Linked DNA regions of Macaca fascicularis. The protein of the gene in region 1 interacts with the protein of each later gene in a pairwise test. Links are inferred from orthologs where the notes say so. Each region holds a gene or a part of one and is shown in the gene's direction. Other genes may lie near its edges.

Evidence for each region. The genes of interacting proteins can lie anywhere in the genome.
Region 2: the proteins of FBLIM1 (region 1) and CUTA interact in binary tests that used the Homo sapiens proteins (3 or more experiments, as listed by UniProt). The two-hybrid records come from large-scale screens. The link is inferred for Macaca fascicularis from reciprocal best matches to the Homo sapiens genes FBLIM1 and CUTA.

Annotation. Positions count from the first base shown.
Region 1 is NC_088375.1:219,336,462-219,346,259, reverse strand, and holds part of FBLIM1 (filamin-binding LIM protein 1), read left to right. Parts: intron 1-2,416; coding exon 2,417-2,595; intron 2,596-4,224; coding exon 4,225-4,342; intron 4,343-9,798. UniProt on the Homo sapiens protein: Serves as an anchoring site for cell-ECM adhesion proteins and filamin-containing actin filaments. Is implicated in cell shape modulation (spreading) and motility.
Region 2 is NC_088378.1:138,271,982-138,281,521, forward strand, and holds CUTA (protein CutA), read left to right. Parts: upstream 1-3,672; 5' UTR 3,673-3,700; exon of another isoform or gene 3,701-3,773; 5' UTR 3,774-3,783; coding exon 3,784-3,825; exon of another isoform or gene 3,826-3,913; intron 3,914-4,091; coding exon 4,092-4,306; intron 4,307-4,476; coding exon 4,477-4,536; intron 4,537-4,644; coding exon 4,645-4,690; intron 4,691-4,817; coding exon 4,818-4,867; intron 4,868-5,006; coding exon 5,007-5,133; 3' UTR 5,134-5,225; downstream 5,226-9,540. Other genes in the region: SYNGAP1 (ras/Rap GTPase-activating protein SynGAP), read right to left, coding at 1,450-1,516; PHF1 (PHD finger protein 1), read right to left, coding at 5,674-5,962, 6,102-6,182, 6,444-6,538, 6,629-6,818, 6,944-7,048, 7,564-7,631, 7,742-7,865, 8,000-8,068 and 5 more. UniProt on the Homo sapiens protein: May form part of a complex of membrane proteins attached to acetylcholinesterase (AChE).

The DNA of each region.
Region 1 (9,798 bases):
GGCTCACCACCAGTGAGGCACTGTGGGAGGAGAGAGGAGCCAGGCCCTCCCTGCCGTGTCCCTGTGACCCCATCAATATGATGGGGGAGTGTCCCTCAGGGGTGAGACACTGGGGGAGGAGGGGTGAGGAGGGGTGTCTAGCTGAAAGCAGCCAAGAGGAAGACTTGATCAGTGTGCTGGGGAGAGAAGGGCCGTGCCCATGAGAGGGAGGGTGGGAGTGGGAGATGCCCCTACATCTGTCCAGGTGGCGTCAAGGTAAAATGCACAGGAGCACAGCCAGGAAGGAGAGACAGCATGTCCAGGAGAAAAGGTGGAAAGGCTAGAGGGAGGCCCGCTGCCCTGCCTCAGGTATCTCTTTATCATTGCTCCTTATTCCAGGAGGAATTTGAGGCAGCTTCTATGAATGCATATATACCAGCCAGGCGCGGTGGCTCACACCTGCAATCTCAGCACTTCAGGAGGCTGAGGTGGGAGGATTACTTGAGGTCAGGAGTTCGAGACCAGCCTGGACAACATGGCAAGACTCCACCTCTATTTTAAAATAGTTATTTTTTATTAAAACGTGTTTTTAAAGAGAATGCATGTATACCTATAGACCGCAATGATATAGGTGCACTGAAAAATTCCACGTGATTCTCCCGCCTCAGCTTCCCAAGTAGCTGGGATTACAGGTGCCTACCACCATGCCCAGCTGGTTTTTTTGTTTGTTGGTTGGTTGGTTTTTTTTGTTTTTTTGTTTTTTGTATTTTTAGTAGAGACAGGGGTTTTCACCATGTTGGATTGGCCAGGCTTGTCTGGAACTCCTGACCTCAGGAGATCCACCTGCCTTGGCCTCCCAAAGTCCAGGGATTACAGGCATAAGCCACCTTGCCTGGCACATTTCTTCTTAAAGGCGTCATATAAAATTATATTAACTGGCTGGGTGCCGTGGCTCATGCCAGGCCGAGGCAGGCAGATCACCTGAGGTTAGGAGTTCGAGACCAGCCTGACCAAAATGGAAAAACCCTGTCTCTACTAAAAATACAAAAACTAGCCAGGCACAGTGGTGCATGCCTGTAATCCCAGCTACTCCGGAGGCTGAGGCAGGAGAATTGCTTGAACCCAGGAGGCGGAGGCTGCAGTGAGTCAAGATCGCACCACTGCATTCCAGTCTGGGCGACAGAGCAAGACTCCATCTCAAAAAAAAGAAAAAGCCTGGGCACAGTGGCTCATGCCTGTAATCCCAGCACTTTGGGAGGCCGAGGCAGGCGGATCACCTGAGGTCAGGAGTTCAAGAGCAGCCTGGCCAACATGGAGAAACCCCGTCTCTACTAAAAATACAAAAAATTAGCCTGGGTGTTGGTACATGTCTGTAATCCCAGCTACTTGGGAGGCTGAGGCAGGAGATTTGCTTTAACCCAGGAGGCGAGGTTGTGGTGAGCCAAGATTGCACCATTGCACTTCAACCTGGGTGACAAGAGCGAAACTCCGCCTCAGGAAAAAAAAAAAAGGTAGATCTCATGTTAAGTGTTCTTCCAACAATAAAACAATTTGTAAAAGACTGCAATAATACTATGATATGTAAAATAAAGACATCCAAACAGAAGGAAAATCAAAATAGAAAGTGAGACGAGATCAAAGGGAATGTTACGACCCACCGTGTGTGAGGATGCCAGACAGGGAGGCTCACGCCTATAATCCCAGCACTTTGGGAGGCTAAGGCAGGTCGATCACTTGAGGTCAGGAGTTCGAAACCAGCCTGGCCAACATAGTGGAACACCATGTCTACAAAAAATACAAAAAATTAGCCAGGCGTGGTAACATGCACCTGTAGTTCCAGCTACTCAGGAGGCTGAGGCATGAGAATCACTTGAACCTCATGTAGAGGATGCAGTGAGCTGAGATTGGGGCACTGCACTCCAGCCTCAGTAACAGAGTGAGACTTTGTCCCAAAACAAAACAAAAACCAAATAACAACAAAAAAGCCCTATAATGGTTTCGAAATATGAAATGTGGAATTTGGCTCTGAGCTTCCAAGTGGCCAAATGGAAAAGGGAAAGAATTTCAAGGCTTCTTGTCTATATGATAAAAGCACCCAATTCTCCTGAGAATTCCTTTTCCTGACCCTGAGGTTTAAGCGAAGTTTCTCCTATGAGCTCTTTGAACCCTGACCTTAAACATATCCCAGTAACAAGAAATGTAGTCATAGCATCAGGGCATCAGGGCAGTATTCCTTACAGTAAGCCAAGGATGCAAGGCTAAGCTCAATTTGTTATAAGCAATGGTGGAGGTTTTGGGCGATAGTTACAGGTTGTCTGCAGGCCTCTCCTGTACTTCCCAATTCCTGGGCCCCCGAGGGCAGGCTCCCAGAAGAAGAGACCCTTGTGGGTTGGAGTGGGTGTGCCGTGGATGACTCTGGCAGTGGCCTCTGTCCCAGGACACGTTGGAGAAGTGCGGCAAGTGTGGCGAAGTGGTCCAGGACCACATCATCAGGGCCCTGGGCCAGGCCTTCCACCCCTCCTGCTTCACGTGTGTGACCTGCGCCCGGTGCATTGGGGATGAGAGCTTTGCCCTGGGCAGCCAGAACGAGGTGTACTGCCTGGATGACTTCTACAGGTACGAGAGGGGTTTGGCACCAGGTGGGGTGCAGGGACAGGGCGAGATCCAAGCAGGATGAAGGAGCCGAGCCTGAGTCCTGGGTGCTGGGCCAGAGTTTCCTGTCTACTGGTTTATTATAAAGAATATTACAGGCCGGGCGCGGTGGCTCAAGCCTGTAATCCCAGCACTTTGGGAGGCCGAGACGGGTGGATCACGAGGTCAGGAGATCGAGACCATCCTGGCTAACACGGTGAAACCCCGTCTCTACTAAAAAATACAAAAAAAAACTAGCCGGGCGAGGTGGCGGGCGCCTGTAGTCCCAGCTACTCAGGAGGCTGAGGCAGGAGAATGGCGTGAACCCGGGAGGCGGAGCTTGCAGTGAGCTGAGATCCGGCCACTACACTCCAGCCTGGGAGACAGAGCGAGACTCCGTCTCAAAAAAAAAAAAAAAAAAAGAATATTACAGGGCTGGACCGGGCACAGTGGCTCATGCCCATAATCCCAGCATTTTGGGAGACTGAGGAGGGTGGATCACGAGTTCAGGAGATTGAGACCATCCTAGCTAACACGGTGAAACCCCATCTCTACTAACAATACAAAAAAAATTAGCCAGGCCTGGTGGCGGGCGCCTGTAGTCCCAGCTACTCAGGAGGCCGAGGCAGGAGAATGGCGTGAACCCGGAAGGTGGAGCTTACAGTGAGCTGAGATCGTGCCACTGCACTCCAGCCTGGGCGACAGAGCTAGACTCCATCTCAAGCAAAACAAAGCAAAAAACTAAAAAATATATATAATGTCACAGGCAGGTACTATTAAGGGTTCTGTTTTACCAACCAAGGCACACAGCAGCTAAGTACCCAAAGTCTCTCCACAGGTAAGTATTGAAACTCTTGGTAAGTATGCACATCCCCAAGGACCTGACTTTCGGGCCCTGCTCTGAAACCCCAGACCTCTGGGTCTGCCCTTGGAGCTGAATGACGCAGTGGGGACACATCTGTTGGACTCAATCCCTGCCCATGAGTTGCTCACCACTCAAGGGGAGAGACAGATGTGCCTCTTAAGAAAGAAGTACTGGCTGGGCACAGCGGCTCACACCTGTAATCCCAGCACTTTGGGAGGCCAAGGTGGGCGGATCACGAGGTCAGGAGTTCAAGACCAGCCTGACCAACATGGTGAAACCCTGTGGTCGCTACTCAAAATGCAAAAATTAGCTGGGCATAGTAGCGCCTGCCTGTAGTCCCAGCTGCTCAGGAGGCTGAGGCAGGAGAATCGCTTGAACCTGGGAGGCGGAGGTTGCAGTGAGCGGAGATTGTGCCATTGCACTCCAGCCTGGGTGACAAGAGCCAAAAAACTCCGTCTCAAAAAAAAAAAAAAAGACAGATGAGATGGGTCCCAGCCCCACTGAACACAGTTCTCAATTCAGGCAATCTCCAGTGATGCTGGGAAACCAGGTCTCATTACACAGGTCTCTCCACCTGCTCCTGCCAGGAAGAAATAGACATCTCTGCTTATAGCTGCTAATGCAGTCCCATAGCAACGGGACTGAAATTGCTCAGGAGGTGAACACCAGCCAGCCCGAGTTCTGACAGCTAATTAATTTATGTGGTTGTGGCATGAACGCCTCCCAAGCATGGGTTTCTTTGCTTCTAGGAAATTCGCCCCCGTCTGCAGCATCTGTGAAAATCCCATCATTCCTCGGGATGGGAAAGATGCCTTCAAAATCGAGTGCATGGGAAGAAACTTCCATGAAAATTGCTATAGGTGTGAGGTGAGTAGAGCCCAGGTGGTTTAATAATATTCCATCGCTGCATTGCCAGGCCCTTGGCTGGGTTGCTTGGACATGGGGACAGGTCAGGGTGGGGGCTGTACTCTCAAATTGCTCACTGTCCAGTAGGAGAAACAAAAGATGCTGGAAATACAACTATAGTCTATTATCAACTCTTCGCGTTAATGATAAGAAACCAAACTCGGGGCTGGGCGCGGTGGCTCACGCCTGTAATCCCAGCACTTTGGGAGGCCGAGGCGGGTGGATCACGAGGTCAGGAGATCGAGACCATCCTGGGTAACACGGTGAAACCCCGTCTCTACCAAAAATACAAAAAAAAATCAGCCGGGCGCGGTGGCGGGCGCCTGTAGTCCCAGCTACTCGGGAGGCTGAGGCAGGAGAATGGCATGAACCTGGGAGGCGGAGCTTGCAGTGAGCCGAGATCGCGCCACTGCACTCCAGCCTGGGTGACAGAGCAAGACTCTGTCTCAAAAAAAAAAAAAAAAAAAAAAAAGAAACCAAACTCAAGTTGCTTTCTACAAAAAAGAGAATCTGTTGGCTAATGGTGGTGGAAACACTGATGGTATTGAGTGATGGCATCAGGACTCTCTCCATCTTTCTTTCTCTCTTTCTTTCTTTCTTTCTTTCTTTCTTTCTTTCTTTCTTTCTTTCTTTCTTTCTCTCTCTCTCTCTCTCTCTCTCTCTCTCTCTCTTTCTTTCTTTCTTTCTTTCTTTCTTTCTTTCATTTTTTTTTTTTTTGGAGGTAGTCTTACTTTTGTTGCCAGGCTGGAGTGAAGTGGTATGATCTCAGCTCACTGCAACCTCCGCCTTTTGGGTTCAGCAATTCTCCTGCCTCAGCCTCCCAAGTAGCTAGAATTACAGGCATGCACCACCGCACCTGGCTAGTTTCTGTATTTTTAGTAGAGATGGGGTTTCACCATGTTGGCCAGGTGGGTCTCAGGTGATCCGTCCACTCCACCTCCCAATGTGCTGGGATTACAGGCATGAGCCAACGCTCCCGGCCTCTTTTCCATCTCTTGTCTCTGCCTTTTTTATGTGTTTGCTTCATTTTTGCTGCCTGTGGGCTGGCCTTCTCTGTGGGGAGGTGGGGCACAGTGCATGGGCAGAGGTGGCCCAGGTTTACATCTCCCCGGCTTAGAAACCCTAGGGGAAAGACAGAGCACACCACATCCAGGGAAGCCAGACTGTCTCTAGAAGGCCTCTAATCACCCCAGCTAGGGTCACATGCCCATTCAGGGCCAGTCACTGTGGCTGGGTGCTAGGATTGATAACCCCTGGGGCCAGGGAGGCAGAACCACATAAAAAAAGAGGGGTTGCTATAACCGGAGGAAGGGAGAAGAGGATGCTGGACAGATCTACACCACGTACCTTTTCCGGGTGCCAGGCAAGAGAATGTAGAAATCAGCTTTCTTCCAGAGTGCTGGGATTACAGGCATGAGCCACTGCTCCCGGCCAGAAGTGGAAGTCTGTAGATGTGACTGGAGTGTAGAGGGCTGGGGTTATGGTTAATGTTTAGGCCAGAGTGAAGGAAAGGGCTGCAGTGCCAGACTAGAGAGTCTGGACTTTAGGCTGCAGAGAGGGGTCAGGCTGAGATGGGCGAGCTGATTAGAAACTGGTGCAGTTGTCCCAGGAAGAAGGGCCCAGGTGTCGTCACACGTGACTTGGCAATCAGACGGGTCCTATGCTAGCTTTAAAGTTCTGCTATTGCTCTCTTTAAAGTCTTGATTTTTTTTGTTTGTTTTTATTTTTATTTTTATTTATTTATTTTTGAGATGGAGTCTCGCTCTGTCACCCAGGCTGGAGTGCAGTGGCGCGATCTCGGCTCACTGCAAGCTCCGCCTCCCGGGTTCACGCCATTCCCCTGCCTCAGCCTCCCGAGTAGCTGGGACTACAGGCACCTGCCACCACACCCGGCTAATTTTTTTGGTATTTTTTAGTACAGATGGGATTTCACTGTATTAGCCAGGATGGTCTCAATCTCATGACCCCGTGATCCGCCCGCCTGAGCCTCCCCAAGTGCTGGGATTACAGGCGTGAGCCACTGCGCCCGGCCTTTGTTTTTAATAGAGACAGAGACTGGAGTCAGGCTGGAGTGCAGTAGTGTAATCATAGCTCACTGTAGCCTTAAAATTTTGGGCTCAAGCAGTTCTCTCACCTTAGCATCCTGAGTAGCTGTAAGTACAGGTGCCCACCACCACACCCAGCTAATTTTTTTATTTTTTAAATTTTTATAGAGATGACTTCTCTACAAAAATTTGCCCAGGCTGGTCTTGAACTCCTGGGCTCAAGCGATTCTCTCACTTTGGCCTCCCAAAGTGCTGAGATCACATGCATGAGCCACTACCTACAGCCTGAAATTCTTAGTTTTTTTTTTTCTTTTCTTTTTTTTTTTTTAGAGACTGAGTCTCACTTTGTTCCCCAAGCTGGAGTACAGTGGCACTATCTCAGCTCACTGCAACCTCTGCCTCTCAGGTTCAAGCAACTCTCTTGCCTCAGCCTCCCGAGTAGCTGGAATGACAGGCTCGCACTACTGTGCCCGGGTAATTTTTGTATTTTTAGTAGAGACAGGGTTTCGCCATGTTGACCAGGCTGGTGTTAAACTCCTGATCTCAAGTGATCTGCCCACCTTGGCCTCCCAAAGTGCTGGGTGGCGTGAGCCACTACACCCAGCCAAAATTCTTAATTTCTGAACAAGGGGTCCCACATTTTAATTTTGTCCAAGATCCTACAAATTATGTAGTCAGTCCTGCTGAGGAGGCTCAGAAATCCTCTCCCACCCCTTCTACTGCCGGCTCCTTGTCACTGAAGCTTCTGTTTTCTCCGGTGATGGTGACAAAGTGGCAACTTTTATGGGGGGGACCTAAGTGGAGAGCCCCAGAGCAGATCTCTTACTCCATGAGTATTTCGAAACACTTGTTCACTCCCACTTATATAAACAGATACTGGGACCCAAAGACTATTTTCACTGAGGTTGTCAAAGGAGCTGGGTAGAGAAGTTGATAAATTGCTGCGTAATTACATTGTCTTTGTTGGTTATAGTTCAAAGTCCTGCTGATAGTGCATTTTGAAAGCCCAATGAGGAAGTTTAAATGCTGTTATCCCCACCATTGTCCTAATGAGTCCAGCAGTGACTGGCACTTTCCTGAGCCAGGAAGTCAGGAAGTGAATAAATCCCCACAGTGGTCTTGGTGATGTGGCCAAGGGTGGTGTAGTAAGTCAGCATTTGGACTCCAGAAGTTATGTGTCAGAAGATGAGGCTTCTTGACCAGGCACGGTGGCTCATGCTGGTAATCCCAGCACTTCGGGAGGCCCAGGCGGATGGATCACTTGCATTCAGGAGTTCAAGACCAGCCTGGCCAACATGGCGAAACCCAGTTTCTACTAAAAATACAAAAATTAGGCCAGGTGCAGTGGCTCACTCCTGTAATCCCAGCACTTTGGGAGGCTGAGGCAGGCGGATCACGAGGTCAAGAGATGGAGACCATCCTGGCCAACATGGTGAAATCCCATCTCTACTAAAAATACAAAAATTACCTGGGTGTGGTGGTGTGTGTCTGTAATCCCAGCTACTCGGGAAGGTGAGACAGGAGAATTGCTTGAATCCAGGAGGCAGAGGTTGCAGTGGGCCGAGATTGCACCACTGTGCTCCACACTGACGACAGAGTAAGACTCCGTCTCAAAAAAAAAATTAGCTGGGTATGCTGGCGCACGCCTGCAGTCCCAACTACTTGGGAGGCTGAGGCAGGAGAATCGCTTGAACCCAGGAGGCAGAGGTTGCAGTGAGCTGAGATTGTGCCACTGCACTCTAGCCATCTACCCTGGGCAATAGAGCAAGATTCCATCTCAAAAAAAAAAAAAAAAAAATGAGGCTCTTGAAACACAGCAGCCTGAAAGGAGTTGAGTGCTGTTACCTAAGAAGAAAGTGGGTTTCCATGCACTGCCCACACCCACATCTCACCATTTCTACTTGCTTTGGGGTCCATATTATTTATGACTATTGTTGGAAGGATAACAATGCTTTTATATGTAGGTAGTATTTTTAAATTTATAAAATGCTTTCATTGACATCACCTTGTTTAATCCTAGTGACAGTCTTGTGAGATGGAATTTATTGTCCCCATTAAGATGGGGAAACTGGTGGGGTGCGGTGGCTCACACCTATGATCCCAGCACTTTGGGAGGCTGAGGCAGGAGGATCACTTGAGCCCAGGAGTTCAAAGCCAGCCTGCACAGTAAGACCTCATCTTACAAAAAATTTGAAAACATTAGCCAGGCATGGTTGTACCCTTCTGTAGTTACAGCTACTTTGGAAGCTGAGGCAGGAGGATTGCTTGAGCCTGGCAGGTGGAGGCTGCAGTGAGCCATGATCATGCCACTGCACTCTAGCCTGGGTGACAGAGCGAGACCCTATCTTTAAAAAAAAAGGAAACAGGCAAACAGTCTCAGAAAACGGGTTCCAGCCGTGCTTGTGTGGGCTGGGTTCAGTGACGTTTCAGCCACTGCACAGCTGCCTTACAGAGGTTGTGAGACTTGGTGGTAGATGAAGTATTTTCTCCAGTTGGTTCTAATTTAGGAGGGGTCTCATGTGGCCCTCCAGCATGTGTTACAATGCCAAACAGGTGGTACAGATGCTGCAGTTGTGTAGCCCGTGGTCCACTTGAGAGACCCAAGTGGCCTTGCAGGGAGGAGACACATAGGAGCACCTCACCCAGCTGACCATGGAGGAAGGCAGATTGCAGACCCTGGTCCCTACTGCATCAGGAGGCCCACCTGTGACCCCAAAGTAGTCCCTATAGGGACTCTTTTTTTCTTTCTTTTGAGACGGACTCTCACCCTGTCTTCCAGGCTTGAGTACAATGTCATGATCTCAGCAACCTCCGCCTCCCGGGTTCAAACAATTCTCCTGCCTCAGCCTCATGAGTAGCTGGGATTACAAGCACCCGCCACCATGCCCAGCTAATTTTTATATTTTTCGTAGAGGTGGGGTTTCCTCATGCTGGCCAGGCTGGTCTCGAACTCCTGACTTCTTGATCCATCCGCCTCGGCCTCCCAAAGTGCTAGGCTTATGGGGGTAAGCCACCGCGCCTGGCCCCCTGTAAGGACTCTTTTGTGGGATCAATGCAGCTTCCAAAGGGTGCCCAGAACCAAGTCTCTGTGCACAAATTGTCCCCTCTGTTACTCTCCAGCATGTGCCCAGGTGAGGTTTCTGGGGCAGAACAGTGATGTTGGTAGAGTTTGGGCCCCGAGTCCCAGTCCCTGTGTTCCTCATTCTGAAATCCTTTGATGATTCGAAAAATAGAAAATATTAATGTTGGCCGGGCACGGTGGCTCACACCTGTAATCCCAACACTTTGGGAGGCCGAGGCGGGCGGATCACAAGGTCAGGAGATCGAGACCATCCTGGCTAACATGGTGAAACCCCGTCTCTACTAAAAATA
Region 2 (9,540 bases), on another chromosome or scaffold:
TCTAGAAACACACACACACACACACACACACTGTCTGGACTTGGTGAAGAATGATTCTGGGAGGCAGATGCAAGAGGCAGAGGAACATGACTGAGAAAGGGAAAATTTTTACTAGCATGAGAAATCTCTTAAGGGCTGAGATGGGGATCCCTTGTTCTAATCATCAAAACCTGTGTCTTTGTAACCCAAATCTCCAACACCCCAATAAGTAGAGGAGACAAGAAAAGAGAAATGATAATAAGAGTTGAGGTATTAAGGGAAAGTGGGTAGGCACAGACTTGTGGTGACAAGGAATGGTCTGGGGGACAAATAATAGGAGTAGATATAAAAGAAAAGGAGGCAGAAATGATAGTAAATGCCTAGGGGCAAGGGAATACACCTGAAGGGCTCGACTGGACGTGTCAGAGCAAAGGAGGCAGACCTAATGCGGGGGCTATGACAAGGGGTCAAGACAGACTAGTAGAGAAGCGATAGAGATATAAGGGAGCGACCACATAGAAAAGAGATAGAGAGAGGCAATGGACACCAGAGAGGGGACTGATATAGGGGAAGGACAGAAGGGGGACTCATATAAGGAACGGACACCATATGGGGGGAAAGATATAGGTGATGGACAGCAGAGGAGGGAGGGGGAATGGAAATAAGGATTGGAGGGGTGGGGGAAGGGGGTAAAAGTGATGAAGTGAAGACAGCATTAAGACCCCAGAGGTTACATTTCACTGGTCAAGAGCCTTTAAGAGGGTCAGAGGCTGGGGCAGGATCCTAACCTGTCCCCTACTCCCATCACTTAATTTTACTTATATTGCCACCCCACCAAGCACACATAATTTGGCCCTCCCCCTGCCCTGGTCTCCCCTCCCCCACCATTCCATCTCTCCTCTCTTCCCTCCATCTGGACCCTCCATCCCCCCACCCCCCACTGCCTCCCTCTCTCTCCATCTGGCCCCTTCTCTCCCTCCATCCTCCTCTCTTTTTCCACCCCTTACCATACTCTGAGTCCCCCACCAAATTCTCCCCCCACATCTTCTTGGCTTCTCTTTTCACCCCTATGTTTTCATTTCTCCCTCCTAGCCCCTCTTCCAAGACTCTGTCCCTCTATTTCCTTGATGTTTTCCTCATCACTCAGCTCCCACCCCCAAATTATTTCTGCAGCTTTTTCCCCAACCCAATCCTTCTACCTTCCCACCCCTTTCTGGCGCTTTCTTCCCCCTTCATCATTTTCCCTTCAGCCCCCTTTCAAGGCCCATTTCCTGGCCCCTCCGTCCCTTATCTACCCCTCTCCCTCTGGCCTCCAATCCCTCCTTCCCGGTTGCTCCCACCCCTGCCTTCCCGGTCCTCCCCTCTCTCTCCATTTCAGCCGCTCCCCTCCCTTGGCCCCGACTCTCCCCCGCCCCCTGCCCCTCCCCCTGTTGCCCCCCATATGGCCCTCCCCCTCCCCCCACCACGTACCTCTGAAGGGGGCATAGGACATCGCGGGGATGCTCCCCCGATGGATGGAGGCTCGAGACCTGCTCATCAGGCCTGGGGGGAGGGGGCGGGGGGACGGGGGAGAAAGAAGAGAGAAAGAGGGGGAGAAAGAGGGGGAGAAGGAGGAGGAGGTGGAGGAGGAGGAGGAGGAGAGAGGAGGAGAGAGGAGCAGAGAGAAGCAGAGAGGAGGAGAGAGGAGGAGGAGGAGGAGAATAAGAGCCAACGGCAGCAGCGGCAGCCGAGAGAGAGGGGGGGCGGGGGAGCGAGCGAGAGCTAAGAGAGCAGGAGGAGGAGGAGGAGGGAGAGACTCTGCAGCCCCCACCCCTACTCGGGGAGGCCCAGATTGTGAGAGAGAGAGACCCCTGACTCAAAAACACACCAGAGAAAGACAGAGGTGCTAAAGATGCAGACCCCAGACCCTGAGAGAGAGACCCTAGACCCACAGAGAAAGATACTTCACCACCCCCCACCGTGGGTTAATTTGAGACACAGGCCCAAAATCTAGAGGAAAAGAGACTCCTGATTTGAGGAAAAAACGACCCCAGATCCCCCAGAGAGAGGAACCCAAGATCAAAATCTGAGAATCCAGGCTCAAAAAGGTTCTCCATACCCACAGACATCTTAGACTCCAGACCCTGAGATGATGATTTCAGGGACCAGGACCTGAGACCTAGACTCAGAAAAAGATGAGGCCCAGATTCAGAAAGAGCCAGATGTAGAATTAGAGCTTAGAGAACTCAGACCTAGAGAGAGACCCCAGACTCAGATCTCAGAGACTGATAACTCAGAGACAGAGACACTCCAGATTTAAGGGGAGATAGAGAGAGACCTCAGCTGGTCCAGAGATGGACAACTCAGAGACCCAAAATTCATGAAGAAGACTTCGAAAGACCTCAGAGTGCGACCACAGACCCTGAAACATAGAAACCCCCCAGACCAAAAACATAAAAGGAAACTCAGTCCTAAGAAAGATCTCCACACAAATACTGAAAGACCCCTCCGAAATCTGTCTCAGAGACAAACTCCAAACTCAAAGACAGAGATCTCAGGGAACCTCCCCTCCCCACTTCCCTGCCCTAGAACCTCCGAGAGGTAGAACACTGACGTCAGCCTGGGAAACTCCGAGGCATCCCCACCACCAGACCAATGACCTCAGACCTTGAAGGGAGGGGAAATATTGGGTGGGGGCAGTGGCAAGAGCTTTTTTCTCTGCGCCTCCTCCCACCTCTCTGCCTCTCACTGGCCCCTCTCTCCATTTTTGGGTCACAGGATGTGCTTGGGCCCCAGGGAAGTTATGTAGGGCAGGTCCTGGCTCCTCAGGGGATGGGTTAGGGAAAGGAGACCCAAGGCTGAGAGGTGGACCAATCCTGGGGAGTGGAATAGGCAGGGAAGAGGGGACAGAAGGACCATCACCACTGTCCCCATCCTGCAGCCCTCGTTCTCCTTCCCTCTGATTCAGTAGTCTGTCTCAAGCTTTGGGTTTTCAATTAAGATGGCTAGGCCCCATTTTCACCATCCTCTACCCCATTTACAGGATCTCGCTCTGTTTTAAAATGCATCTTTCCTCACCTAGCTATTGTCGTGCCATGCCCATGCCTGCCTAATCACTCCCCGCTACGCAGGGACAGCGGGCTTCTAGATCACCGTTGTTCATTCCCAAACCCAGGCATATCTCTGTCCCAACTAAAATGGCAGGGGGCGCTCTCTTAACCCCTGAGGTTGGGGTGAAGGGTCTTTCTCAGACCCTGCCACACCTTAAGGCCTCGGAAACAGTGCAGGGGAGGTTAGGCACATTGTGGGGTTTAAGAATGATTCCCCACACCACAGCCTGACGCATCGACTATGCGGGGTCTCCGGCCCCCCCCTTTCCTGGAGCCAGCACTCGCCTCACGTGGCCTGCAGGGCTGGCCTGTGATTGGCCACTTGGCGTCACTCACTGAGTGCCGCCGCCGGAGAGGACCGGCCCCCTCACGTGACAGTGGAACGCCGCAGCGGCTCTCCTCAGCCAGCAAGTGGTAGTTTCGGGTTCACACGGAAACGGGCGTGCCATTTCCGCGCACGTCTGCAGATCCAGCGGTCGATTGGTCAAGTCTCCCATCGCTCCGCCCTCATCAGGAGGCGGGCAAACCGCGCCACGAGAGGGCCAGGATTGGCTGGCTCTGGAAGCGCGGGTGGTCCCCCTTCTACTGTCACATGGTGCGCGCTGTTTTCTTATCACGTGGCTGCCACCCAGGTAAGAGGCCGCTCTTCCTGGGGTTGTTTCTCCGTGTGACGTGTGGCCTCTGAGATCAACTCTCCTCTACCAGCGTAGGCCGCATGAGTAGGGGGCGGGCTCCCGCGGTCCTGCTCGGCGGAGTGGTGAGTGACCGGCCCCGTCCCGCCCCTTCCGGTCCTCGAAGCCTCGACCGCTACCTGCACCCCAAATCCCAGAGGTTGGCCCCCTGAGGTGTGAGTGAAATGAGCCTTTGCTTTACTTTTCCAAGTTTCTCTCTCACCTTCAGGGGCATTCTTCTTCGGGGTACATCAGAGGGAGGGCAGAGCCTGAGTATCTAAGCAGAGGCTTCCCTGGGTGTAATTTCCTGGGCTGTTGGTGAGGAGAGATCGAATTCGCCTCCTGCTCTCAGGCTTCTCTGCTCCTGTCTTTTGTTTGGATGCCGGCGCTGCTGCCTGTGGCCTCCCGCCTTTTGTTGCTACCCCGAGCCCTGCTGACCATGGCCTCTGGAAGCCCTCCGACCCAGCCCTCGCCAGCCTCGGATTCCGGCTCCGGCTACGTTCCGGGCTCGGTGTCTGCAGCCTTTGTCACTTGCCCCAACGAGAAGGTCGCCAAGGAGATCGCCAGGTAGGGACCTCGATGTTCAGCGAGAAAGGATGATCATGAAGGGAGAGTTGGGGGTGGGGCAGAAGAGTGCCGCTTTCTCCTCTCTTCAGCTCTGCAAGCCTGTCTCTGGGCTGCCAGTACAAAAACTGGGGTCATGGGGCACTCTGAATGGGACTGTCTCTTCACTCCAGGGCTGTGGTGGAGAAGCGCCTAGCAGCCTGCGTCAACCTCATCCCTCAGATTACATCCATGTGAGTCATAGGAGTTGGGGGGTTAACCTAACTGTAGGAGCTGACTGGGAACCTCTTTCCTGGGGGAAATTCTTTGCTCCTCACAACTCTCCCCCTCTGACCTTTCAGCTATGAGTGGAAAGGGAAGATCGAGGAAGACAGTGAGGTGCTGATGGTGAGAAACATTTCCCCCACCCAACAAAATTTCCCCAATCCCTGACCCCTTTAGCCCTTACCCCTCTTCTGAGAAACTGAACTCAGTCCCACTCCTTGATTCAACCATGTTTATCTTTGTCCCTTAGATGATTAAAACCCAAAGTTCCTTGGTCCCGGCTTTGACAGATTTTGTTCGGTGAGAACTTTGAGATGTATGGGGTGACGGTGTGTACTGTGGGGGTGTACTGTGGGGATGGGACTTGCTTGCGCGAGGGAGTGGCTTCCTTTAGGTCAATCTTTGAGTAATCCCCTTCCCCCACCCACCTATCTTGTAGTTCTGTGCACCCTTACGAAGTGGCTGAGGTAATTGCATTGCCTGTGGAACAGGGGAACTTTCCATACCTGCAGTGGGTGCACCAGGTCACAGAGTCAGTTTCTGACTCCAGCACAGTCCTGCCATGATGAGCCCTGTTCCTGCCGTGATCCCCTTGATACTCAATGCCTTCTGACTTCCAGGTGATGACCGGGCCCCCAATAAATCCTGTCTTTAGGTCTTTCTGCCTTTTGCCTGTTTTTTCCTTGTCATGTATGCAAATTTGTTGGGAGAATAAGTGCTTCTAGTCCCTGTATTCTCTACATCTTTCAGAATGACTCCGAGCTGCTAGATTTATTTCTCTTTATTTCAATCATACAGAGTCCGGGATCCCTTATCATCCTCCCTCCTCAGTCTCTGCCCCCAGGGGTTAAATAATTTTAAAAAATATTTAAAAAGCTGTAACAAAATAACATCAAAGGAAATGGGAAGGATGGAGGGGTCAGGAATCATGAAGGAAGGTAGAGAAGAGAGCCTCTTCCCTACCCCCCACTCTTGGATTCCAGCCTGGGCAGTAGGGAGAACTATCCCCTATCTCTCCAGGTACATCCCAGCTGTAGGTGAGGTCAGAGGTCAGGGTATGAAAGTGCCGGTGTGTGTGAATGGGGAGGTGGGCAGAGGCAAGCTGTTCAGAAGATGCCCCCTCCTCCCCACTCAACCAGGTACTGCACAGAGCCATCAGGCCGTACTCTCCGAGCAAGGACCCGGACAGGGTCCCCTCGGGACAGGTAGCCAACCCCACCTCGGACTCCTCCCCCAGTCCCAGGAGACAAACTACGGCACAGGGGAGAAGGGGGTGCTGAGCGTCTAGGAAGACCTGGGGATGGGGATGAGACTGAGGAAGATGAGGCAGTCATCGAGTGGGGGGCATTTTTAGGGATGTCTGTGGGGAAACCAATGTGAAGTTCCAGGGGTGACCTAGGGAGAGAAGGCAATTGTAAGAAATGGGCAGAAATGGAGAGCACATGTGAATCAGAGAAACAGTGTTAGAGACTAAGAGCCTTGAGCACATAGAGGGGAAGAGGAGCATTGCTGGTAATAGAAGATAGAATCTCACCTGTCTGGGGGTTCACCGTCCCCAGAGGTCCCTGCGGTGCTGGCAGAAGGGTGGAAGGAAGCAAACATCCGGATGGGGCTGCTGGGGTTGGAGTGGGGCAAGTCAGGACCTGAAGCAGGGGAACAGGACCTTCTCCCCCGGGGAAGTGCAGAGCTCAAACACTACCCACAAGGGACTCCCTTCCCCAGAATACTGGCTACCAGACACTAGGTTCTAGAAGTTGGTCTAGGCCAAGAAGTGGGTAGCCAAGGGGGAGAGGGAAAATAATTCTGGGTGAGAAAGTCCAGAAGATGTGAATAAATGGGAGCATATTTTGTGGGGGAGAGGCAGAGGAGCACTGACCTGGGCAGGCAGCGGGCATCTGTGGGCCGGAAGTTGTAGCCGCTGCTGCCCTGGTAAGTCTGGTTAGGGCTGGGGGATGGTGGAGACACTGAGGCCTAGAAGAGGGGGCAAAGGACTGAGAGGTAATCCTTGACTCCTTCCCACACCCCACCATTTACTCCATAGGGTTCCCCCTGCCCCGGTACCTGCAGTGCCCTCTGCAGATGAGCCCGCTCCCTCTGCTCCCGGGGCTCGGGCTGATTGCGCACTGCTGAGGGTGGCCCCAGCTCCTCCACTTTCCCCTTCTGCCTCCTCCTCAGGGGCTCTGGCTCCGGCCTCCGGCGCTTCCCCAGGGGACGTGAGACCCCTCCCCCAGGGCCCTGCCCTGAAGGGAAGCTGTAAGAGGCCTCCTTATCCCCCCAGCCCCCTCCCGGACACCCCAAAGACCTCCCCATCTCTATACATATACCCGCCAGCACTAACACCCTGAGAATTTCCCCCATCCCCCCTGGACCAGTGACCTGGTGAGTGCTCCATCTCCAGTAGGGGGCTCCACAGGGGGGGGCATCCGAGCATGGAGACCAAACAAACATTTCCTCTTCTTAATCTCTCTCCCTGAAATGAAACTGGAGCAAGAAGAAAAATGATATAGGGTCAGTGCTGTTAAAAAAAAAAAAAAAAGGTTCCTTCTTACACCATTCCTCAATCCTTTTCAGTCATAGTCTTCCAGGTGGGTTGCAAGCCCCTCCCCTTCCAGGCTTCCAATCTACATCTCTTTCTTTTTTTTTTTTTTATTTTTTATTTTTTTTGAGACGGAGTCTCGCTCTGTCACCCAGGCTGGAGTGCAGTGGCCGGATCTCAGCTCACTGCAAGCTCTGCCTCCCGGGTTCACGCCATTCTCCTGCCTCAGCCTCCCGAGTAGCTGGGACTACAGGCGCCCGCCACCTCGCCCGGCTAAGTTTTTTGTATTTTTAGTAGAGACGGGGTTTCACTGTGTTAGCCAGGATGGTCTCGATCTCCTGACCTCGTGATCCGCCCGTCTCGGCCTCCCAAAGTGCTGGGATTACAGGCTTGAGCCACCGCGCCCGGCCTTACATCTCTTTCTGAGTCTCATCCTAGACTCCTCCTCCCTCCAACTCACCGGTCCTTGTGGCTGTTGAGAGCAGAGAGGAGCTTGGAAGAACGTTCTCCTTTGGGGGTGTCTGAAAGCTGGGAGGAATGAAGAAAAATGGGGCCAGGGGAACAGTGATTTCTTCTCTTCCCCTTTCCACTACATCTCCCTGTCCCATCCCAACCCCCAAAACTGCACTACCCCTTACCTCCCCCAGAAGCAAACTGTCCCAATTCTCAGAAGTGAAGGGGAGGATCTCACGATCAAAATCAAAGTATTTCTTCTTACAGCAAACGCTGAGGTGATACAGGACAAGATGGGCCACATCCACCCTGGAAAAACAAAATTTCCAAGACCACAGAGGCATTTTAAGAGCCAGGGGAGTCCTGAGGTGCGAGGCTGGGGCATACAGAGTAAAATACTAGGGGTGTGGAGTTACACTGAGGTCATGCCCAAGCCAGCTCACCAGCGAAGCTGTAGTCTCCGGACTTTCTCAGGGCCTCCACGACACACACAGCATTCAAATTCATAGAACCTGGACGTGGGCAAGAGGGAGAACACACACTTACGCAGGAAAACTATGCCATCCCCTGGAGGACTCACAAGCAAGGATGGGGCAAACAGGTGAGGTAATGCTGCAGATATTGGGAAGAGACTGGAGTGGAGACAGGCATGGGAACTGAGGGTGGAGCACGAAGAGAACACCTTGGCTTCTGGAGAGTCTGCCTTGGTCTCACCTGTCCCCATAGAGGAGGGGCTTGCTCAGACACTGGGTGCAGGCCTCATGGAACCACTGCAGGCAGCTCCGGCACTGCAGCATTTTCAGGTTCCACCTGAGGGGGAACATAGGACTTCTGGCCTCCAGAAACCCCCTTCCCCATAACTGCCCCAAACCCTAAACTTACCTCCCATCCCCCTGAGTGCTACCCTCATCCTGTTCTTTTTCCTTCATTTCCTGGGAGGCACCACCACATCATTCATTCCACAGTCTGCTCCCCCTCATTACTCACTCCCCAGGGCCACCACAGTAACAGTAACTCTGCTGTCGGTTGCTCAGATGTCCAGCATCCCAGTCCAGCCCCTTCAGTCCATATGGCAGAGAGAGCTTCATACCCAGCATGGCCCGGGCATAGGGGCCCTTCTTCAGGGCACCTCCCCTCTGCAGAGACAGGACAGGTGGATGACTTCAGAGGGGTGGGGAGAGGAAAAGGCTTGGGAGAGGATGTGGATGGGAGGCTCTCACAGGAAGGGGTAACAGGGAAGTGCCTTTACCTTGGTGGCGATCGCAAAGACACACTGGCGGCATACCCAGGATGTGCCCTCTCCCTCTCCAGGGGCTGGGGCCCTGGGAACATGGCAGTCCTGGTGATAAGCTGAAGAGTGATAATGTTAATAGTAGACCACTAATTGCATACCTGTGTGTGCTTGGTATTGGGACAGGAATAGTCTTTACCCATCTCATTTAATCCTTGACCATGTTCTTGATGAGAGGGTACATGATCCTTATTTTACGAGTCAGGGAACTGAGGCTCCTAGAGGTTAAGGGACTTGTCCAAGGTCATATGGTTAGAAAAGGATGCAGTTAAATCATCCTCTGCTTGCAAAGGTTACACCACCCCTTTCCATGGCTGCTTCTCCCTGGGCTGAAAGGGGATGAGGACTAAGATAGGGCTAAGCAGCCTGGCCAGAGCAGTGGCTTGGGGACTAAGGCCACGACAGGTGACATAAGGACCATCCTGGAGGGAAGAGCAAGCTAGACCATTCAGGTGACCTGCCCTCTCACCATGGCGACACTTCTCACAGCTGACCAGCCGGTTCCCAGGGACCACAGTCTCAGAGCGACAGACACAACAGAGGAGTTCCTCCCCAGGGAGGGCAGCTGTGAGAGAACACAGTGTCACGGGGCCTGCCCTTAAGTCTCTTTCTGCCCCTCTAAGCCAGGTTTGTTTTCCATGGGATGTGCAATCTCAGGTCTCTAGTCTTACCAGGGCTAATGTCTTTCCATAG